Linked DNA regions of Nothobranchius furzeri. The protein of the gene in region 2 interacts with the protein of the main gene of each other region in a biochemical or structural test. Links are inferred from orthologs where the notes say so. Each region holds a gene or a part of one and is shown on either strand. Other genes may lie near its edges.

What was found. The genes of interacting proteins can lie anywhere in the genome.
Region 1: of the proteins of claspin (region 2) and cdc7, one has a biochemical effect on the other in vitro, tested with the Homo sapiens proteins (3 studies listed by BioGRID, with this or other methods). The link is inferred for Nothobranchius furzeri from reciprocal best matches to the Homo sapiens genes CLSPN and CDC7.
Region 3: of the proteins of claspin (region 2) and usp20, one has a biochemical effect on the other in vitro, tested with the Homo sapiens proteins (2 studies listed by BioGRID, with this or other methods). The link is inferred for Nothobranchius furzeri from reciprocal best matches to the Homo sapiens genes CLSPN and USP20.

The regions. Positions count from the first base shown.
Region 1 is NC_091751.1:71,608,866-71,615,727, reverse strand, and holds the end of cdc7 (cell division cycle 7-related protein kinase), read right to left. Parts: intron 6,272-6,862; coding exon 6,178-6,271; intron 6,069-6,177; coding exon 5,926-6,068; intron 5,729-5,925; coding exon 5,455-5,728; intron 5,352-5,454; coding exon 5,244-5,351; intron 5,050-5,243; coding exon 4,895-5,049; intron 4,793-4,894; coding exon 4,710-4,792; intron 4,604-4,709; coding exon 4,454-4,603; intron 1,328-4,453; coding exon 930-1,327; 3' UTR 261-929; downstream 1-260. Other genes in the region: glmna (glomulin, FKBP associated protein a), read left to right, coding at 1-14, 79-168. UniProt on the Homo sapiens protein: Kinase involved in initiation of DNA replication. Phosphorylates critical substrates that regulate the G1/S phase transition and initiation of DNA replication, such as MCM proteins and CLASPIN.
Region 2 is NC_091759.1:26,751,118-26,759,258, reverse strand, and holds the start of claspin, read right to left. Parts: upstream 4,142-8,141; 5' UTR 4,007-4,141; coding exon 3,980-4,006; intron 3,384-3,979; coding exon 3,275-3,383; intron 3,199-3,274; coding exon 2,876-3,198; intron 2,795-2,875; coding exon 2,648-2,794; intron 2,532-2,647; coding exon 2,472-2,531; intron 2,392-2,471; coding exon 2,319-2,391; intron 2,240-2,318; coding exon 2,137-2,239; intron 1-2,136.
Region 3 is NC_091746.1:62,087,358-62,094,877, forward strand, and holds part of usp20 (ubiquitin carboxyl-terminal hydrolase 20), read right to left. Parts: coding exon 7,363-7,520; intron 6,917-7,362; coding exon 6,835-6,916; intron 4,464-6,834; coding exon 4,355-4,463; intron 4,269-4,354; coding exon 4,166-4,268; intron 4,084-4,165; coding exon 4,015-4,083; intron 1-4,014.

The sequences.
Region 1 (6,862 bases), on a different chromosome or scaffold from region 2:
ACTCTCAGATTCAGGTCGGTGTTTTCCTCCTCAGACACGAGCAGTCACGGTGATGTTAGTGAAAACGGCTTCTTTCAGGCGCTGCACTCTGCCCTCCACACCTTCGACATGATTGAGAGTGTGTTGGTGCGCGTCGAGGAGCTCACCGAGGTGAAGGACGGCGTGTAGACCACCAGAGGACCTGCAGCTTGTGGCGCTGCGTACTTTTCAGGTTTATGATGAGAAATGTTGCCTCCTGTGATATAAAATAAACATCTGACTCAAATCACAACTTTATTACCACCAAACAAACATTCTGATGTGGTCTTTTACACAACGTGGACATTTCATCCGGTTCTCACTGTTAAAACTCAGTCCCCCTTCAAAATAAAAGTCCTTTCACACCTTTAGAACCTCGTCCATCAGCTGTTGAGTAACTTCCTGCTTTCAGACATCAAGGAGCTACTTCACGTAGACCTCTGCGCTGGTCTGTCCGGGCCACTGAGCCTTTCGTTAGCTGACTGGTTCTGGTGTGGCCCGCTCAGTAAAACACACCCAGAACTGACTTCTTCATCAGGACATTAAAGAACTTCCTCCAATCCTTCACAATAAGAGTCTAAAACGGTCTCACATACCTAAAAGCATCAGAAGCTTTTAGTTTATTCTGGTCAAACTTCTGCTGCAGCCTGAACGTCCAGGAAGTCCGAAGTCCTTCCCAGAGGAGGTCTGAACCAAAAGGTCACCACTCGCCCAGGCATGACGGCTTCATTTGTGATTCCTCTCAATCCCAAATCTCTAGACGGCACCAGGACTTTCGCCGGGGAACGACCGTTATAGTAAACTAAATGATCGGCTTCACACGTCTGATGTGTTTGAGGCGTATTGTGAAGGACTGAAGGAAGTTCATGGTGAACGAGGTTACGGAGCAGCTCCTGGAGCTCGTTCTGGTCTCACAGGTCCTTGAAAAGCGGGTGCTGCAGCGCAGCAGCGGCTGTGATTCTGGTTGAAGGGTTCAGGTCCAGCAGCTGATCCAGGAGGTCGTAGGCCTCATCAGGAACGTTGTCCCAGCCCCGCTGGTCTCCTTCCTCGTCGCTGGGCCGTGTTGTGGGACCAGCTGTTTTACTGCAGGTTGATTGTTCTCCTGATCCATCTTTGCGTGTCCGGTCAGCGGCTTGAGAGGCAGGAGTCCCATCTCCAGTCTGACGCCAACTCTGACCCACGTTGACCTCTGCAGCTGGGGTGACATCATCATCATCACCCTCTAGCGTTGACCTCCTGCCTCTAAGCATCTCACACAGGGCTCTGAGGTCCTGACGAGGAAGCTCCCGACTGCACACCACCGCCTTCCCTGAAACAACAAGTTCCAACATGGATCTGGATCCTGAACCCCAACAACACCATGCTAGGTTTGTATTCAGAGACTACAGTGGGGCAAAGCCTCCAGCTACGCGTTCTCCCTCTGATGAAGATGAACTTTCATCATGGCTATACCTCAACTATGAGAGACAACATGAGAAAAAGCATCCAGGAAATAACATCGTCTGATTTTAAAGAAATTATTTGCAAATTATGTTGGAAAAAAGTATTTGGTGAGGAACAAAAGTCCATTTCAGTACGCCGTTGTACACCCTTTGTTGGCGATGACATGGGTTAAACGTTCTCTGAGTCTCCACACACTGTTGCTGGTATTTTGGCCCATTCCTCCATGCAGATCTCCTCTAGAGCAGTGATGTTTGGGTCTGTCGCTGGGCCCAACTCCCAGTAAAGATTTCCTGTGGAGCTGAGATCTGGAGACTGGCTAGGCCACTCCAGGACCCTGAAATGCTTACGCCACCGCTTCGTTACTCGAGCGGTGTGTTCGGAACAACGGGAAATCGCTTATTTTAATCTATGAAGCCAACACAGAAGTGACAAAGTTGCAGTTCCACACTCATCCACAAGGGGCTGGATCTAAAGCAGGGCAAACTTAGCCTAGCGAACTAGACCAAACTGGTCTAGGAACGCTCCACTGGAACCTCTGCAGCCCCAACAGCATTCTGGCTGGCCAATCACAGCTCTCTAGAGGGGTTTCAAACACAAAGAGCTGTGATTGGTCCATAATGGTGGGCCAATCATAGTGCTCTATCTGCTTAGTGAACAAATGACAGAGCTTTATCTGCTTTGTGGGCCAATCAGGGCACTCTATATGCCTGGTGGGTGGGATGATGCAACAGAGGGAAACAAGATGGCGACAGCTCGTTTGAAACGGCTTTTACATCCATGTTGGACTATTAGAACTCTGGCTTCATCAGAATCAGGAGCAGATAGATGTATTTAAGAGCTTTTTTAGAAAAAATGATGTGTTTTCCCCTTCTTCAACTGCGGACCGCCTCATTTACCGATAGCTGTTGCGGTGAGTATGTCACAATCATTGTCCAGTGGCATGCAGAGATCATTTGAAAGACAACAGTAGAACCCGCCCCACAACCGAGAGCCGTCAGTGGAGCGTGGCCAGACTACATAATACATTTATTTAGTCTGGCCTGCCAGGCTAAGGGAAACCCTCACCGACTCCCATGTTAAAGTGGCAGCGTGCAATCTCCTGGCGATAGGAGGCAATTCATACATTTCAGGGTAGCTTTACGCCCAATCGCCGTGACTGTTGCTAGGTACGGTAAATGTTACCTGCGGAGCAGAAAGAACGCAACCTCGGCGTAACTCAGACTTTGGTTAGTTCCACTGGGCCCTGTAGTTTCTCGATCTGCTCGGGGTCCTGCGCCTGCCGGTAGCGGCGTCAAACTACGGCAATACCGGTCAGTCAAAATATATTTCCTCTCCTTTGATTCTGTTCTTTCACATAGGCTTTGGAAAGAGCTTAGCTGTTTTGTTATTGAATCCATGTTTTTCATATCTAAGTGTTTTTGAACGTGTAACGTAACTTCCGTAAGTCGTACATCCTGCAATCACCTAATGTGACGCCATCGACAAGTACTCGACCCCGAGCCGGCCAGAAGGAAATATGGCGTCCCTTAAAGACGCTAGACCCACACGGTATGTACTTTAAACTTCATTTTTATGCTTATATGTTATGAAGCCACCAGACATCTTTTTATTCATCTTCAACAACATTTCGATGGAGATTAAAGGTAAAACAACACGTTGTCACTTTAAAAATGCCAAGTTCAAAGAGAAATAAACACGTTTACGGGACGGATTAAAAACCATTTCAGGATTAATAGATCTAGTTTAGCCAGCTTGTTCACGAGTGAGGGAAAGCTGGAGCGTGAGATCGACGGGTGGATTGGTGCTGCGTCTGCAGTGATGCGGGCGTTCCACCGGTCTGTCGTGGTGAAGAGAGAGCTGAACCAGAAGGCAAAGCTCTGGATTTACCGGTGGATCTGCGTTCCTACCCTTGGGACTCCCCGGAGGAGCTGGTCCAAGTGGCTGGGGAGAGGAAAGTGGGCCTCCCTGCTCAGGCTACTGCCCCCATGACCTGATCCCGGATAAGCGGCCGAAAATAGACGAGTGGAGATCGAGTTTAGTCACGACAACTCTGAATTATTTTGTAACTCTTCTATTTAGGTGTAATTAACGCTTTAATGATGAATAATTAGATTTGATTGACATGCAGCTGAGCGTCAGAGCTAGCATTAGCAGCTAGCTCTGGGGAAGGCCTTGGCTTCTTTGAGAGAAATAGGTGGTGCTACGTGCGGCACATACGGCTCGGGTTTGGGATCATCGTCACGCCGGAAGACCCAACCATGTTTCATCTTCAGTGCCGTTGCTGATGGAAGGCTTTCACTCAAAACCTGACGATACATAGCCCCATTCATTCTTCCCCTTACACAGACCAGTCATCCTGGTGCCTCTGCAGAAAAAACAGCTCTAAAGCATGATGCTTCCACCCCCATGCTTTACAGTAGGTATGGTGTTCTTTAGATGAAACTCAGCATTCTTTCTCCTCCAAACGCAACGAGTAAACAAGTTTTACCAAAATGTTCCGTTTTGGTTTCACCTGACGACGATATTCTCCCAGTCCTCTTCTGGGTCGTCCAAATGCTCTCTAGCAAACGTCACACAGGTGCGCGTGCACATCTTCCACTTTCTGACAGTCGCTCCCACGATGGATTTGTTCACATCAAGCTGCTTAGCTGCTGCAGATCCAGTCCTCCCAGCCAGGTGCAGCTCTACAGCCTGGTTTCTGGTGTCGGCTCTTTGTTCTTGGACAGTGCGACTGTTGGGTTGTGGACAGGTGTCTTTTATAGTGATGATGAGTTCCAACATGGGCTCGTTAATGCAGGTCTGTGAGAGCCACATATGCTGCTTGTTTATAGGAGACCAAATACTTAATTTCCACCATAATTAGCAAAAGAATTCTTTAAACATCAGAAAATGTGATTTTCTAGATTTGTTTTCCTCACTTTGTCGCTCGTAGTTTTAGGTATACCTCTGACGAAAATGACGAGTCTTTTTAAGAAGCAAAACACGTTCATACCGAACGTTTTAGCAGCGCGGATGGTCTCTCTGGAGCCTCTTATAGTCATGATCTGTGTCAGAGCGAGAAGGTCGTCACTGGCCTTAAAGAATGGGTACCGCCCACTGAGGAGGGAGAGCAGGATCACACCGGCAGACCACATGTCGATGGCTGCAGGGGAGAGGGAACAGTTGGGACACGTACTGGTGTTACTGGACTTTCTAACATCCCAGTAGCCTCAGCAGCAGAGCTACAGGAGAAGGCTGGAGCTGCTGACCTGTGCCTTGGTTGGGACACTTGGTGAGGACCTCTGGAGCTCTGAACCCTGGAGTTCCTGCTCTGGGAGCTACCTGCTGCTTCCTTCAGTCACAAACAGGAACACGGACACAAAAGCACGAATGAGTGATGGGAATGTTCTTTCTTTATGATGACGGGATGAAAGTGTGAAATGGTTTATGTCACCTGGCCATGCAGATGTTGCAGACGCGGTCGGTCAGGTAGCAGTTACAGGTGAGGCCCTGCTGTAAGCTCCTGGGGGCTTTCTGACTGCTGCTCTGGGCTTTGACAGGAAGTACGGCCCGGTGCGGCGCACCCTCAGTCCTCTGAGGCTTGACCAGCTTGAGATAAGGGATAAATGTGTGTTGTTTGTTAGTGCAGAAGCAAATTTATCAACTAGAAACATGAAGTTGCCATCTTAGAAAAACAGGAGAAACTATTTGTGTGATATGCTCGTCAGCCACTAGATGGCGCCCTCGGATAAGAAACACTGGAAAGAGACAGCTGGGTGGGATCCTCCTGAGGGCTTCCTCACCTCTTCATCATGAGCAGTTTGCTTCGTGGTGGACGGGACAAGCATGCGGCTGTTCAGATTCCTTTCTCCGAACACGGGTCGTGGAGCTTTACAGAGTCCTGCCAAATCCTGCATTTAACAAGAAAAGCCAGAAAACAGCCACCCAGTCACAGTGAGCCTTCTGCTCCACACTAGAGACGAGTGAGAAGGCAGACAAACATCAGCAAGACACCTTTGTGTGTTTTGTTCGTGAGCAGGAGGAGGCAGAACGAGCTTTTTTAACCAGAGACTTCCCCGGGGCTGAGGTGGAGGAGGTGGAGGGGGAGGAGGAGGGAGGAGGAACAGGAGGTGTCACGGCCAGAGGGAGTGAAGTTTTAGGAGGGAGTTTAGGTGGAGCTTTGCTCCGCCGAGCAGCTTCCTGTCCACCTTTCTGTCTCACCGCCTTCAGCAGCTGGATCTGGGTGTCGGCGGTCCCCTGAGCCAGGCCGAAGTCCACCAGGGCGTACCTGCACAGGTACAGGAGAAAACCACCGTTACAGAGCATCCACCGCTGTATTCTCCAGATGCTCTATAGGATCCGTAGAGTGACTCAGACTCAGGTAATGCTGAAACACGCCGGGACAAAGATCATTTAACTGGATGAACACGACTTTTACTCTAATCATCAGGATGAAACCAGGAAGTCCTCCAGAGGAAGACACACGTTTTACTCTTCCTGTTGTAGAGGAAATTGTTGGGTTTGATGTCCCGATGGATGATCCCAAACTGGTGGATGTGTTTCAGGGCCTTCAGCAGGTGGTAGATGTACAGATGGACCTCCTCAAACCTCATGGACCCAATGACATCCTGGGAAAGGTTTGGGATGAAATCAGAGGAACAGCAACAGAAACTCAGATTCTAGTTGCAGGGAACAAATAAAGGTTAGGAAGAAGGTGGAAGGTGACTGCTTACATACCACAATGGCTTGGTGCTCCATGTAAGGCATTACGATCACCACATGGTCCTCTCTCCTGAAGCAGTAGGTCACACCCATAACGTTCTCTCTGCCTCTGCAGGAACAACAAATGATCACTTTCTAGAATAGAGTGGTTTATCGATCCCACGGTAGGGAATTCACTTGCTGCTGCAGCACTTAGAGAAGAGGAAGAAAAGTAACAAGATTACAGGTAAACACACGTTATGGTAACCTTCAACCACTAAAAACAGTGAGTGCAACGGAAACTTGGGTTTCCAGAACTACACCGCTTCAGGGACACACAGATACTAATGTTCATCGGATATTGCACGAGTACTGAACACAAACTCCCCGCGAATAAATGGAGGATTCAATTCAGTTCAAGTTTGTTTATAAAGCGCCAAATCACGACAAGAGTCGTCTCAAGGACCTGCACACGGTAAACATACAGGTCAGGTCATTAAGCCAATCAGTAACAAGTTTCCTATATAAGGAACCCAGCAGGTCACATCAAGTCACTGACTAGTGTCAGTGACTATACAGCAATCCTCATACTAGGCAAGCATGTAGCGACAGTGGAGAGGAAAACTCCCTTTTAACAGGAAGAAACCTCCAGAGAATCCTGGCTCAATATAAGCAGCCATCCTCCACGACTCACTGGGGACGGAGAAGACAGAGCACACAC
Region 2 (8,141 bases):
CCAACCCAGGGCCGCGTCGACCCAACCCAACCCAGGGCCGCGTCGACCCAACCCAACCCAGGGCCGCGTCGACCCAACCCAGGGCCGCGTCGACCCAACCCAGGGCTGCGTCGACCCAACCCAGGGCCGCGTCGACCCAACCCAACCCAGGGCCACGTCGACCCAACCCAGGGCCGCGTCGACCCAACCCAGGGCCGCGTCGACCCAACCCAACCCAGGGCCGCGTCGACCCAACACAACCCAGGGCCGCGTCAACCCAACCCAGGGCCGCGTCGACCCAACCCAGGGCCGCGTCGACCCAACCCAACCCAGGGCCGCGTCAACCCAACCCAGGGCCGCGTCAACCCAACCCAGGGCCGCGTCAACCCAACCCAGGGCCGCGTCGACCCAACCCAACCCAGGGCCGCGTCGACCCAACCCAACCCAGGGCCGCGTCGACCCAACCCAGGGCCGCATCGACCCAACCCAGGGCCGTGTCGACCCAACCCAACCCAGGGCCGCGTCGACCCAACCCAGGGCCGCATCGACCCAACCCAGGGCCGCGTCAACCCAACCCAGGGCCGCGTCGACCCAACCCAACCCAGGGCCGCGTCGACCCAACCCAACCCAGGGCCGCGTCGACCCAACCCAGGGCCGCATCGACCCAACCCAGGGCCGTGTCGACCCAACCCAACCCAGGGCCGCGTCGACCCAACCCAGGGCCGCGTCGACCCAACCCAGGGCCGCGTCGACCCAACCCAACCCAGGGCCGCGTCGACCCAACCCAGGGCCGCGTCGACCCAACCCAACCCAGGGCCGCGTCGACCCAACCCAACCCAGGGCCGCGTCAACCCAACCCAGGGCCGCGTCAACCCAACCCAGGGCCGCGTCGACCCAACCCAACCGAGGGCCGCGTCGACCCAACCCAACCCAGGGCCGCGTCGACCCAACCCAGTGCCGCGTCGACCCAACCCAACCCAGGGCCGCGTCGACCCAACCCAACCCAGGGCCGCGTCAACCCAACCCAACCCAGGGCCGCGTCGACCCAACCCAGGGCCGCGTCGACCCAACCCAACCCAGGGCCGCGTCGACCCAACCCAACCCAGGGCCGCGTCGACCCAACCCAACCCAACCCAGGGCCGCGTCGACCCAACCCAACCCAGGGCCGCGTCGACCCAACCCAACCCAGGGCCGCGTCGACCCAACCCAACCCAGGGCCGCGTCGACCCAACCCAACCCAGGGCCGCGTCGACCCAACCCAACCCAGGGCCGCGTCGACCCAACCCAGGGCCGCGTCGACCCAACCCAGGGCCGCGTCGACCCAACCCAACCCAGGGCCACGTCGACCCAACCCAGGGCCGCGTCGACCCAACCCAACCCAGGGCCGCGTTGACCCAACACAACCCAGGGCCGCGTCAACCCAACCCAGGGCCGCGTCGACCCAACCCAGGGCCGCGTCGACCCAACCCAACCCAGGGCCGCGTCGACCCAACCCAACCCAGGGCCGCGTCGACCCAACCCAACCCAGGGCCGCGTCAACCCAACCCAGGGCCGCGTCAACCCAACCCAGGGCCGCGTCGACCCAACCCAACCCAGGGCCGCGTCGACCCAACCCAACCCAGGGCCGCGTCGACCCAACCCAACCCAGGGCCGCGTCGACCCAACCCAGGGCCGCATCGACTCAACCCAGGGCCGTGTCGACCCAACCCAACCCAGGGCCGCGTCGACCCAACCCAGGGCCGCGTCGACCCAACCCAGGGCCGCGTCGACCCAACCCAGGGCCGCGTCGACCCAACCCAACCCAGGGCCGCGTCGACCCAACCCAGGGCCGCGTCGACCCAACCCAGGGCCGCGTCGACCCAACCCAACCCAGGGCCGCGTCGACCCAACCCAACCCAGGGCCGCGTCGACCCAACCCAGGGCCGCGTCGACCCAACCCAACCCAGGGCCGCGTCGACCCAACCCAGGGCCGCGTCGACCCAACCCAACCCAGGGCCGCGTCGACCCAACCCAACCCAGGGCCGCGTCAACCCAACCCAACCCAGGGCCGCGTCAACCCAACCCAACCCAGGGCCGAGTCGACCCAACCCAACCCAGGGCCGCGTCGACCCAACCCAGGGCCGCGCCAACGCAGGGCTACTAGTTGTTACTGTTTACTTCAGCAGCGCCATGGCCGATCCCTCCGGCCGGGTCCTCCTCTTGAAGAACTGCTCGATGGTTTTGGGTTCAGGGATGTGGTATGGCAACCCAAGCGTCGACTCTACAGACGCAGAGAAACGTTTAGCGTGTTGCAGATCAAACCCCTGCAGCTAAAGCAGAGCAGAGCCAGGGGAACTGACCTCGGACCAGCCTCTGGCTCTCACTGTGAAGCTGCTTCATCGCCTCCTTGCTGGCTCGAGCTGCTTTCCGTTCCTGGAGCCCCCAGAGACAATCAGTTTATTCTACCTTCAGTCCGAGTCGTCTACCTGGTCTAACGTGGTGCTGTATCCTACCGCTCGCTGGGGCTTCTCTGGGACCTCTTCATCCTCCTCCTCTTCCTCCAGGAGGGGGTCCTACAGTCACATTTAACAAGTTTAGTCAAAACTTCCTCCTGAAACACGTCCGGACTCTTCTCATCCAGAACACGAGCGGAGTTAGGGTCAGAGTGACGTAAACATCTTGTTCTTACTTTGTGTTTCTTCACTTTCTGTCTGACCGCAGCTCTGATGGCGTCCAGAGACTCCTCCTCCTCCTCCTCCTCCAGACCGGTGCTAAACAGCTCTGGATCACCCAGAGGACAGCCGCTGTCGTTCAGCGCTGGAGGAAGAGGAACGTCCTGATGGAAAGAGCAAAAGGTGACCAGTTTATTTTTAAGATTTCTGGATTTATTTGGATGAAAATTTCAGACGGAACTCACCTCCTCTCCTCCACCAGACCTCCTTCTCCTTTTCAGGCTTTCCACCACTTTGCTGCGTTTTTCTTTCTTCTTTCGATGCCTTTGACTCTTCTCTCTTTTATTCTCCTCCTCTTCCTCGTGCTCTCCATCGCTACCATCAGATGCACGAGCCTTTCTGTTGCTCCTCTGTCCTCCTTTATTCCTCCTCTCTTCGTCCTCACTAGAGGCAGGTACCGCTTCTTCAGACAGCTCCAGGCGTCTTGGTGCCTCCTCTTCCTCACTGTCACTGTCTCTGATGGCGTTACGCCGAGGCTTCCTGTGAACTGTGATGTCATCATCTGAATCTGAGAGAAAAACTGATTTAGGGGACCACGGTTTCTCCTGATTGTCCACGAGCGTCCTGCAGCAGGTCTGTCTCACCTGGACACTCATCTCCTCTATCAGACGTCTCTGGGACCTCCTCCTCTGCAGGAGGACCCATCCCGCTGTCCCAGTGGCTCTGTGGTGCTGCTCGGGCCAACGCCTCAGTCTGAAGAGAGACAGACTTCAGAGCCTGTGTGTGTGTGTGTGTGTGTGTGTGTGTGTGTGTGTGTGTGTGTGTGTGTGTGTGTGTGTGTGTGTGTGTGCGTGTGTGTGTGTGTGTGTGAGAACCGGGTCTAGAACCCGTAGCTGTTCCACCTCTCACACCAGAGCCGTTTGACCTGGTTCGGACTGGTTTCCGGGCCACAGAGAGACACTGGTCTGGGACCAGTCCTGATCAGAAACACGGTCTGGGTCAAGGCGGACTAGCTGATCCCAGACCAGCTGCTAGCCGGATTCATGGCGCCTTCGGTCAGTAAAACAATGAATCAACGTCACAGCTGGATAACCGTGTCGGACCGAACGCCCAGCTGTCCGGTAACGGCTACCGGACCTTCGGACTGTTTGATGTGACTTTTTAACGGAGCTCTACCGAATTAGAACGAGGTGAACGGAAGAACCGATTCCTCGGTGTTAGCAGCTAAGCGGCTAACAGCACCTTAGCACCTTGTTGGTGACGTTTCCCTCCAGCACGCTGAACACACACCTGTCTCACATGTACCTGTCTGTACACCTTCCACTGACGCCGCCTGCTAGCGTCTTTACCTGCAGGTGAGACAGGACAAGGCTCATCTTTGTGCTCCGGTTGGTCCGCCCGCTCCCGGCAGGGACGAGGCTCCGTCCGCTCCTCTAACGGCTACAGCCGCTACCGACACCGAGAACAACGTGTCCGTGAAAAGAACTCTACTGCAGCTCCTTACCGAACAGCTAGGCCGCGTTTTACCGGACAGCTCCGCTTCCTCCCGCCTCACCCGCTCACCGAACACAAAGTTTACACTTTCGCGCGCCGTGACAGCTGGCCCGCGGTCTTTCACCAGCGAGCTGTCAGTCCAGCGCTTCTCGCCCTGCTATTGGACCATCTGTGACGGAGGTATCCGCCCAGTGTGACGACACAGTTAGTGGAGGAATTAAAACATCCACCAGCGCTGCGCAGGCGGGCGGCTAAGTTTGCTGCGCCCCACAGGATTCAGGCTTGTACTGTTTTTGAGACAGCGCCGCCCACTGTTAGCTAGCGTTCCAAGATGGAGTACGATCGGAAAGTTTTTTATTTTTGTTTCTACAAACAACTTCAATTAAATAAATATGATAAAAGCTTTTATTATTAAAATTTACTCAGGAATTTTCAAATTTGTATTCTGAGAACTACTTCACTGAAGCGTTAACAACGAATAAACTATTTTAATAAGCTTCACCGACAATTACATATTATTTATAAATAACGGTTAAGCTTGAATCTGCAGTTGCAGTTACACGTTGATCCTTTAGAGGTCGCTGTCTCAAAACAGTACAAGCCTGAATCTGCGGTCTCCGGGTCTTCTGTAAGTGCACTTGGGCACGTGCGCAGGCTCGAGTGCACGACCGTGCGTTAGAAGAATCTCACCCCTCTCTCTGCAGTACGCTCAACATAGAAATACGACAATAGATGAACCCCGACTGGTTTCTGGTGGTACGCTGACCTCCTCAACACAGGTCCTGGAGAGACATCACTTTCCTCTGCTTTTCATGTCCTCCTATGGCAGGCACCATCTCTGCTTGAGCCACAACAGCTTGCCTTCTCACCACATTGTTCCTCCTAAAAGGCGTCTTTGCTCTTCAGCAGATTATGACGGTACCTTCTGAGTTTACGACCTTCAGGTCTTACTTCATATGATCTTGGGTCAGCTTACTGAGGAACAATGGCGTTTCTGCTCCATGCATTTTGATCTTGGCCTCTCACCACATCATCCTTTGTAAGCAGTCTAAGTGCCCTTGTGGTCTTGTCATAATGCTGTTTTTGTCTGCATTTTAGATTCTCTTGTTTTTCCAGAATCCATGCCATCCCAGTCTCTGACTCAGACCAAGGTAGGCTCCTTAACTTCAGGGTGTTCAGGATCTTTAATTGAATCCAATAAAACACCAAATAGAGCTCAGTGTGACAACTCAAATAAGAAAACCTACCTAAAGGATGAAGCTTCTCCCCCCTTGCTGTTGATGTTAGAGGCTTCACATTTTCCCTTTTGACCTTCAGTTGTTCGTTCTCTTGTGTTTGGGGCCGAGTTAACACATCATCAGCCATGAGGACTGGACAGAAATCACACGGCAGGGATGGGCGGTGTGATCATGTCATGCTGACAACATGCTAACACCACCTGTTTGTTATCATGCCATTTCATGCTAATGGTAACGCCCCTGTGTTTGAAATGTGTTATATAAATAAAGCTGCCTTGCCACTAGTGGTGTGCATCTCTACCTGCCTCACGATTCGATCCGATTCCGATTATCTGCCTAACGATTCGATTTGAGTCTGAAATGAATCACGATTCTTCACACAAAAGTTTTCATTACTTAGTAAAAGCAGTAGAATAGTTTTCAATTTCTTTTTGATTTTGAAATCCCTGAAAAACAGAACATTCATCTATTCACTATAGTGAGCAATAATGTTTAAAGTGTGCTGCCTATAATTACTTAAATAATATAAGAAATAATGTTTTCGGTAGAGCAGCTTTAAGATAGAATATTACTGAACTTAAAAATAGTAAACAAATACTGTGTTAAGTGATTCTTTCACATCCAGGATCCCAAAACAGAAATTAGCCCAGACATCCGATTTAAATGTAACGGGTACATATTTGATTACTGGTAATGTTGGCCCTGTGTCCCTGTCCGCCTTTTCTGTTTTAAACTGGCGCTAGGGCAACGCAGTGCGCATGTCATTGCAACTCTGCCCCCAGAAGTAATTGTAAAACCTCAAAACTTTATTGTCCTGCATAGACATAGACATAGACATAGACATAGGGAGAAAATCTCATTATGTCATGTTGCTGCATTGATGCAGAATCATGCACGGCTGAATGCGATGCATCTGAGAATCGATCATTTTTCCCACCTCTACATGCCACACATGTGGTTGTATAAGGACAACATGCTAACGCCACACATGTAGGAAGAAAACATGCTCACTCCACACATGTGTGTGTATAAGGACAACATGCTAACGCCACACATGTAGGAAGAAAACATGCTCACTCCACACATGTATGTGTATATGGACAACATACTAATGACACACATGTATGTGTATAGGGACAACATACTAACGACACACATGTATGTGTATAGGGACAACATACTAACGACACATGTATGTGTATAGGGGCAACATGCTAATGACACACAAGTAGGAAGAGAACATGCTCACTCCACACATGTATGTGTATAGGGACAACATACTAACGACACACATGTATGTGTATATGGACAACATGCTAATGACACACATGTATGTGTATAGGGACAACATACTAACGACACACATGTATGTGTATAGGGACAACATACTAACGACACATGTATGTGTATAGGGACAACATGCTAATGACACACGTAGGAAGAGAACATGCTCACTCCACACATGTATGTGTATAGGGACAACATACTAATGACACACATGTATGTGTATAGGGACAACATACTAACGACACACAAGTAGGAAGAGAACATGCTCACTCCACACATGTATGTGTATAGGGACAACATGCTGATGACACACATGTAGGAAGAGAACATGCTCACTCCACACATGTATGTGTATAGGGACAACATGCTAACACCACACATGTGTGTGTAGAGGGACAACATACTAACGACACACATGCGTGTGTATAGGAACAACATGCTAATGACACACATGTAGGAAGAGAACATGCTAACTCCACACATGTGTGTGTATAGGGACAACATGCTAAAGACATACATGTAGGAAGAAAAAATTCTAACGCCACACATGTGGTTGTATAGGGACAACATGCTAACTCCACACATGTGTGTGTATAGGGACAACATGCTAACGACACACATGTAGGAAGAGAACATGCTCACTCCACACATGTATGTGTATATGGACAACATGCTAACGACACACATGCATGTGTATAAGGACAACATGCTAACGACACACATGTATGTGTATAGGAACAACATGCTAACGCCACACATGTATGTGTATAGGAACAACATGCTAACAACACACATGTAGGAAGAGAAAATACTAACTCCACAGATGTATGTGTATAGGGACAACATACTAATGACACACATGCGTGTGTATAGGAACAACATGCTAATGACACACATGTAGGAAGAGAAAATGCTAACTCCACACATGTATGTGTATAGGGACAACATGCTAACACCACACATGCGTGTGTATAGGGACAACATGCTAACGACACACATGTAGAAAGAGAAAATACTAACTCCACACATGTATGTGTATAGGGACAACATGCTAACGCCACACATGTGTGTGTATAGGGACAACATGCTAACGACACACATGTAGAAAGAGAAAATACTAACTCCACACATGTATGTGTATAGGGACAACATGCTAACACCACACATGCGTGTGTATAGGGACAACATGCTAACGACACACATGTAGAAAGAGAAAATACTAACTCCACACATGTATGTGTATAGGGACAACATGCTAACGCCACACATGTATGTGTATAGGGACAACATACTAATGACACACATGTGTGTGTATAGGAACAACATGCTAATGACACACATGTAGGAAGAGAAAATGCTAACTCCACACATGTATGTGTATAGGAACAACATGCTAACGCCACACATGCATGTGTATAGGGACAACATGCTAACGACACACATGTAGGAAGAGAAAATACTAACTCCACACATGTATGTGTATAGGGACAAC
Region 3 (7,520 bases), on a different chromosome or scaffold from region 2:
CTGAATCTGGTGCCCTTGAGCCTGTGAGGCTGAAATGAATAGCCCCCCTCAAAAGAAATGTGGAATGCTGCTGTTGCCATGGCAACTCTGTCTCCCTATGCCAGCCTGGGCGGGACTGCGAGCTGTGAAGGCCACTGAATCGTTCCAGGAGTCACTGTGCTCTGTAAACCCAACGACCTCCCACCCCCTTCCAGACTGAGGTGAAGAGCGCTGCTTATCACTGCTGCTGCTGACGACGTGTGGAGAGTCCCAAAACCCTACCACCCCACCTAGTGGACACTTATGTTGTGTAGTGTCTGAAGTCTGTTGCATTTCTGTCTGAGGTGTTTTTGCATAGCAAAGCTGCCCTCCCTGTGGAGGGTAACTCTGAAGTGCCTTTTTTTTCTTCCACCTGATCCAATCCTCATGTAGCGCGACTCGGATTGCGAATGACCACAGTCACCAATTCTTGTCAGGTGTCTTTGCCCATGTATGTCTGATCTCAGAATTGTGTGTGCTGAAACTCTAATTTCCCTCTGGGATTAACCCTCTGGGGTCCAGGGTGTAATTTGCCGTTTTTGACTAATTTAGTTTTCCTTTGTATTTCCAAAATAAAAACCATAACCACTGCTTTATGTGGTATCGATCTTTTCAGCACAACCTGGACTTTATAAATTTATACTTATTTTTTATATTTGGACATAAAGGGGTTGCATATTAGACCTTAAATCACTCAAAAACATAAACTCCGAATTGGAAAAAAGTTGCTTATTTTACTGTGAAACCAACAAACATTTATGACGAATGTTTTTTTATGATTTAGAATGGTAATCTAGACTGTACATTTATAAAAAATATGAATAAATATAGCAAATAACAAATTTAAAAAAAAATGATTAGCCCTCTGGGGTCCGGAGTGTAAATCACCATTTTTGACTCATTTTGGTTTTTCTTTTGTATTTTCTAATAAAAACAATAAATATTGCCTTATGGGGTATCTTTTTTTTTTTTCAGGACAACCTGGACTATCTGAATTTATACTTATTTTATTAATTTGACAATAATGTACTTGCATTTTGGAGTGGGGAGTGGCTCTGTCTCACGCAGCGGAGATCGAGATCTGACGACTACGTGGCGCCACCCACTCTTCTTGTTGGGTGTCCGAGGAGCTGTATCTCTGCCTTCATCCTCTACCTCATCATGACCCAACTCTTCTATGAGGAAGGATGGATCTGCCACATCGTCATCAACATCCTCCCTATTTGCCTCAGACTCCGGCTGTGAGTCTCTGTCCACTTCCTCTGCTTCCAGTTCAAAAAACAGCTTAACTGCCTGGTGGACATTTCTCATCATCCTTTATTGAAGCCTAATAAAAGCCTACTAAACTGCAGCAGGGTTTCCCTTACATAGGCGTGGCTGTGACGGTCTGCCACGGCTGAAATCCCACCGCCACGCCTACAAGATCCCAAGTTTTATTTTTATTTTTTTTGCGCTGTTTCCCGAAGAAGCAGCGGGAACTACTATGTTGTCGCTTGTGATCACAGCCGGCGGGCAGCAAGGAGGAGCAGGCAGGGCAAGGTGAAGTTACAGCATAAGTTACTGAGTTTAAAATTAGAAAGGTAGCGGTGGATATAATGCTTTTTGGTTTACATGTTTCAACAGCATTAAGATAAACGAGTGTTGACAATCTTGACAGGGTTTCCTCCAGTGCTTATTAGGCCAGGTTTTCCTCCCTCCACCAGGCTAATCATCACTTATTCAAGTAAAATTTATTTATTTTTTCATGTCTGACTTTAACCGCATCTAATACTGTATTACGATGTGAGCGCAACAGCGACAACTTAAGATCGATGTGTGAGCAGCATGAGAGGTCGGGTGTTTTCATCTGAACCCTTAAAACCTCCAGCAGGCTACGCTGCACTATTGAAGTGTTAGCGCTGCGCGCTAACAACTTAGCGACGTTGTCGGTACAGGATCTGCTCGGGTGCAAGATCGGCTCGGGGTCCTTCGACTGCCGATGACGTCAAAGTACGGCAAACCCACTCGGACAAAATCCACTACACATCTATACTCTTGGAAAGAATTTAGCAGTTTCGTTATTAAAATAATGTTTCTTAAGACGTAAGTTTGTGTTTATAATGGTATTTGTAAAATAAAACACTATATTTTATTCATAATGTTGAACTCCTCTTTGAGCACATCCCTTGAAGGATCACAGGTATTAGCAACACCTGTGAAATTATATATGCAGGAAAGAAGTGTGTCCCGTTTATTGAAGTATTTTGTGTTTAGAGTTTTGACGTCTTGTTCATGCGTAGTTCAGTTACACTCATAGCTGCTAGCCAAAACTCTGGAGTTAAAAGATTTCTGGCTTTACTAAAATACCTGTCTGTACTTATTTGATTGATGGTATTTTTACTTTCTATTAGACTCCAAATGTAATCATTTGGCATGTTTCTAATTCATAATTTGTAATAATGTAATTGGCGATATTAGCATTAGCATTCCTATGGGTTTTTCCACGTATATTAGCATTGCGCTAACCACTCGCTGCCAAATTGCAGCCTTTGCGACTAGAAAATCTCCTTTTGTCACATCGCAATTTAATTGCACATGCAGTTAATCGTTCAGCCCTAATATACATGCAGCTCTATGCTAAAAGTGTATTTTCAAAGAGGTAATGATGGATTTCTTTGTAAAAGTTGTCCATCTTTCCAATAGAAAGATTTGCCTGGACCAACGTAACGTGATAACAACGTAACGTGATTACGTAATTCCGTAAGGTTCATGTTCAGCCAATCAACTACTTAGACGTCATCGGCAGTCGACGGACCCCGAGCCAATCTTGCACCCGAGCAGATCCTGTACAGACAACGTGACATGTCTCAGAGAAAGCGTAAAAACACGTTGGACGCTTCTTCTGAAGCGGGAAAATAACACTTCTTCTTAAGCAGAGCACGACGTCGCCTCGGCTCGTTCACCCTCTGCCGAGCCGGACTGGGCTCGATAACATTGACCCAGCACAGCCACTGGGTCGTTGGAGCTGCCCCATGACTGCCTGATGGAAAACCAGCGGGTTTCATCAGACTCGTAAAGTTTCTTGTTTTTGCTGGGGACCCCCTGTATTTTACCGCTCCCTCCTGCAGTCTTCCCCGATTAAAATGATTCTGTAAACTCCGCGTATCAATAGAAACAATCTCTGCCTCTGCCAGCTGCAGTAAATGTAGTCTCCAAACAATAAATAAGAGGTGCATTCATCTGTGTATCTCCTTTTATCCGCATTAGTGATATTCTCAGCACCAGAACAGTGAAGCAAAGAAACAGATTCCTGAGTTTGTTAGTGATTTTATTTATTAGGTGCATCTAACCTGTTCTATTTTTCTCTGAAATGAGATCAAATCAGTGCTTCTATGGGTTGTCTCCTCTCTGCACTAGAAATCTTTACTTTATTTAGAGACGTGTCATAAAGCTTTTGTGGGGTTTTTTATGTTCACAAGCACATTCCCTCTCACGGATTACTAAACTGCTGTTTTGACAAGTCAGATTGTCTAAAAATAGGTCGTTTTTTAGCTTAGTATAACTCCACTTTTACGTTGCCTATTAACAAAATTTAAAAACTGGGGTGTAGTTTATAATCTCCTTTTTAAAGCTGAATTGAAAGCGAAACTCAGGGAGGCGGAGTCTTGCTGCTACAGCGTCCCAAATCAGACCTGTTCAAAAGACGCATACACGCGTCCATGGACCCCAGAGGGTTAATAAAGTATCTTTGAATTGAATTTGAATTACAAAAGTAATTTTTACCAGTATTTGGGGGGGGGGGGGGGGGTCACATGATGTGCAATATTATCTGGTATATTTGCATATTTTCTCCTTTGTACTATATTTTTAAAATTCATTGAATCTCAATGATTTTTTTCCCTTGTTTTCCATGTTCTGTTCTTCTGTTCCTATCGAGAAAAGTTCCTGCTGAAAATCCCAGAGGAATCTTCTTGAGAGATTAGGAACGTTTAATCCTCTCTGTCAGTAGTGTTTTACCTTGCTTCAGCTGTAAGTGTCCTCCTTTCATAACGCCAATTTTACTGTTGTCAATAGGACCTGGTGGCTCTGGGAGAAAAGGAAAATACATCATTTAGTAAACAGAGACAGATAAAGATCCTGATTTCTAAGCTAACTCTGGTGTTTTTACCGTTGTCTTTGCCCTTGACGAAGGCCTCCCACTCTCTGAACCACTGCATGCTGATACACAGGATGACCGTCGGCGCCTCCTCAGCCTGGAACTCTTTGTTCAACTACAACAACAACAGCAGCTCTCACACAAAGCACTGGAGATGCATTTACACAGAAAGCCGAACCCTTTTGGAGAGCAGGCGTTCACCTTGATGAAGGTGTCGATTTCGGTTTTCCTACGTTTCGCAAGAGCTTCGATCTCCACCTGACAGATGGCGCACATGTACAGGTGGTTGACAGCTGGGCCCCCTCCAAAACTGAAAACATTCAAACCAACACACACACGCACTTAACAACAACCATAAACAACCATTAAAGCAGTCATGAACCAAATAATCGAGATAAATTATTTACACCCACAACAACTTAAAGAACATGTTGTTTGCCACCAGTTTGGTGGCAGGAGAATCTCATCTCTGCTTTATGCAGATGATGTGGTCCTCCTCATCAGGCTCTGACCTACAGCTGTTGCTGGGGAGGTTCGCAGGCGAGTGTGAAGCGGCTGGGATGAGGACCAGCACCTCCGAGTCTGAGACCATGGTTCTCAGACTCGGAGAAGGGCGGCTTGCCAACTCTGGGTCGGGAGAGAGGTCCTGCCTCAAGTGGAGGAGTTCAAGTTCCTCAGGCCTTGTTCACGAGTGAGGGAAGGAGTAGGGCTGGGCAATATGGCCTAAAATTAATATCATGATATTTTGAGGATTTCACCTCAATAACGATAAACGGACGATAACTACAGGTATGCACTAGCTGGGGCTGTCACATGTATTACGTTGAGACATTTTTATGTGACTTGAGGTGGTACAGCTTCTTAAAGGGACATGAACGTTGCTAACCTACGCACATCTTTCTTTTTATTATCAAATGTATTGACATGGGAACAATTATCTCGATAAGAGTCAGAAATTTCAATAACGATACATTTTCGATTTATTGTCCAGCCCTAGGAAGGAGGGAGCAGGAGATCGACAGGCAGACCAAGGCAGCGTCCGCATCACTGCAGACGCTGAACCAATCCGCCTGTCGATCTCCTGCTCCCGGTCTGTTGGTAGTATTTTATTGTTGTTATTATTGTTTTATCAGTTATAAACACATTTAATTTCCCTCTGGGGTCAATAGTTTTTTTCTGAATTTGAACTGAAGTTAAATAAAATTAGTTGCTGAAAGAAACGTCTTAAGTGTTTTTTTTTAAAGTTTATTAGAAAATGGTGAAATTTAGCTCAACTTTACTTATATTTAAATACATTTGCAGTTGTCTGTAGTAAGAATGAATGACTTGTGAGTCGTTCTCTGGGGGAATAAAGCTCCAATGGGCCTGTTTATTTCCTGATATTTGTACATTTCTCCTCTGATTGACTAACAGCAACGCGACTCAACCACCGGCCACTTTGCAAGGTTGATGTTTTATCTCTATAAACACCACAAGCCTGAAGGAGTTCTGCTGTGTGGTGGAGTTGCTAATGCTAACAGTTAGCTTCTACTAGCCGAGACGTTCTCTACATTTTCCTGAACGCTTAACTAACAACAGCCTTCCCTGTTGCGAGTCAAGATGGGTGAGTCCATTAACGTTAAGTGACACTGTGACGTAGAGCTGCTAGACTTCTCTAAACCGAGCGTCTTCCATCAGATGCTAATGCAATTATCAGACAAGAGAAAATGTTAGCATTAACTGCTGGAGTCTCATAAGCTAAATATCCCTGGATGGATTTAATTAAAACGTTCAGAAAGTCTTAATTGGCTTCAGATGTCATGTTAAACAGATTAGGCCAAGAAAAGAATGGAAATAAGAGCCTAAATCAAGAGATGCAATTAATACCTTTAATCTTCTAATAGAATTTAACATTATTTACAGCACTTTTGAATGTTTAGGTAAAAATGGGCAGATTTAGGCCCAGAAGTGAGTTCATCTTCTAACTGAATGATTGGATATTTTCATGTCAATCCTCTGCAGTGTACCTAAGTGCCCTTGAGCGAAACACTCACTGGTGTATAAGTCACAATCTACAGAGTGCAAATTTAAAGAGCAAGTCACCCCCAACTCAACCATTTTTTTTCCGGATAAACTATATAAATGCGTGTCTAATCGTGCTGCACACACGTGTAGTCAATAGTTTTGCACTTTAGTGCATTTTAGTTAAATTTTTAATTTTCTTCCTAAAACTGTCAGTGTTGTGCCGTTGTCAGGTAAAAACTCTGCACTGCATTTGAACTAAAATCTGCCATTGCTATTGGCTAAGAGGTACCCTAGAATGTTAGCTGGTACCATATGATGTCACAATGTCGTTGTGAGCCTGTGTGTGTGTGTATTTGTTAGCGGCTCTGTCCTCTCGGTCTGCTAGGCAACAGCATTTGTTGCATTTTTCAAACAGGAAGTGGGAGTGGAGTAATACTCTGGTAGGGGGTGACTTGCTCTTTAAATGTGTCCATTCACTAATATTTAAACTGCGTAGAGTTAAAGGTAAAATAAAGATATTTTTCCACAACCATTGATGATTTCCACCCATACCCTAAATCTAATGGTGGTGGTAAAATCCCTACTTTCTTTCTGCTGAGATTCAAAAAAGTCCTAAACAGAAAAGCAACAGAGGAAAACACCGACGTGAGACAGTACACCACTGGGCTAATATTTACCTGTTGTAAAGGTATTCCCACACATTCTGAGGAACGATCACAACTAAATCGTCAATATAGTGGTACTTATTAGGAGGAATACCTGCGAGGAGAGCAAAGCAACAACAACGTTTAGAGCAAATATTTATCTGGGTTCCTGTAGAACAACTCAAAAGCTCCGTGTCTTTAAATAAGCTATTCTTAACTACAAAATCAAACATTGTAATTTACTTGTAGGACGTTACAGAAATGTTATTCATTTCAGTAAATGGCAGTAAGATAATTATAAAGTGTGTCACCCTGAAACATTTAAAAGCTACACAAGCTGCTTTTTTATGGCTGGATTTTACATTTAAAACTTTATTCTAAGGTAAATGGTCGGTTATGATGACTCCCTTCGGTTGGAGCGCTCTCCATCACACGCTTGGTTTTTCCCTGTGGGGCAGTTCTCGACTGAAAACATAACTGAACTTCTTGTGAACTTCCTGTGTGTGTTGTGTAAATTACACCAGACGCAGTTGTGACCACAGAGAGGTGATTGAGACAGACCTCCGTGCTGACAGAGGAACGTGTGATTGCTGATGGGGCCTGGCTCGGCGAAGGTGTTGAACTTGTTCAGCCATTCTCTGGAGATGTAAAACTGCAGCAGGCTGGGCTCCTTCATGTTGGCCAGAGCCACCACCTTCTGTCTCTCTCGGACCGACTCC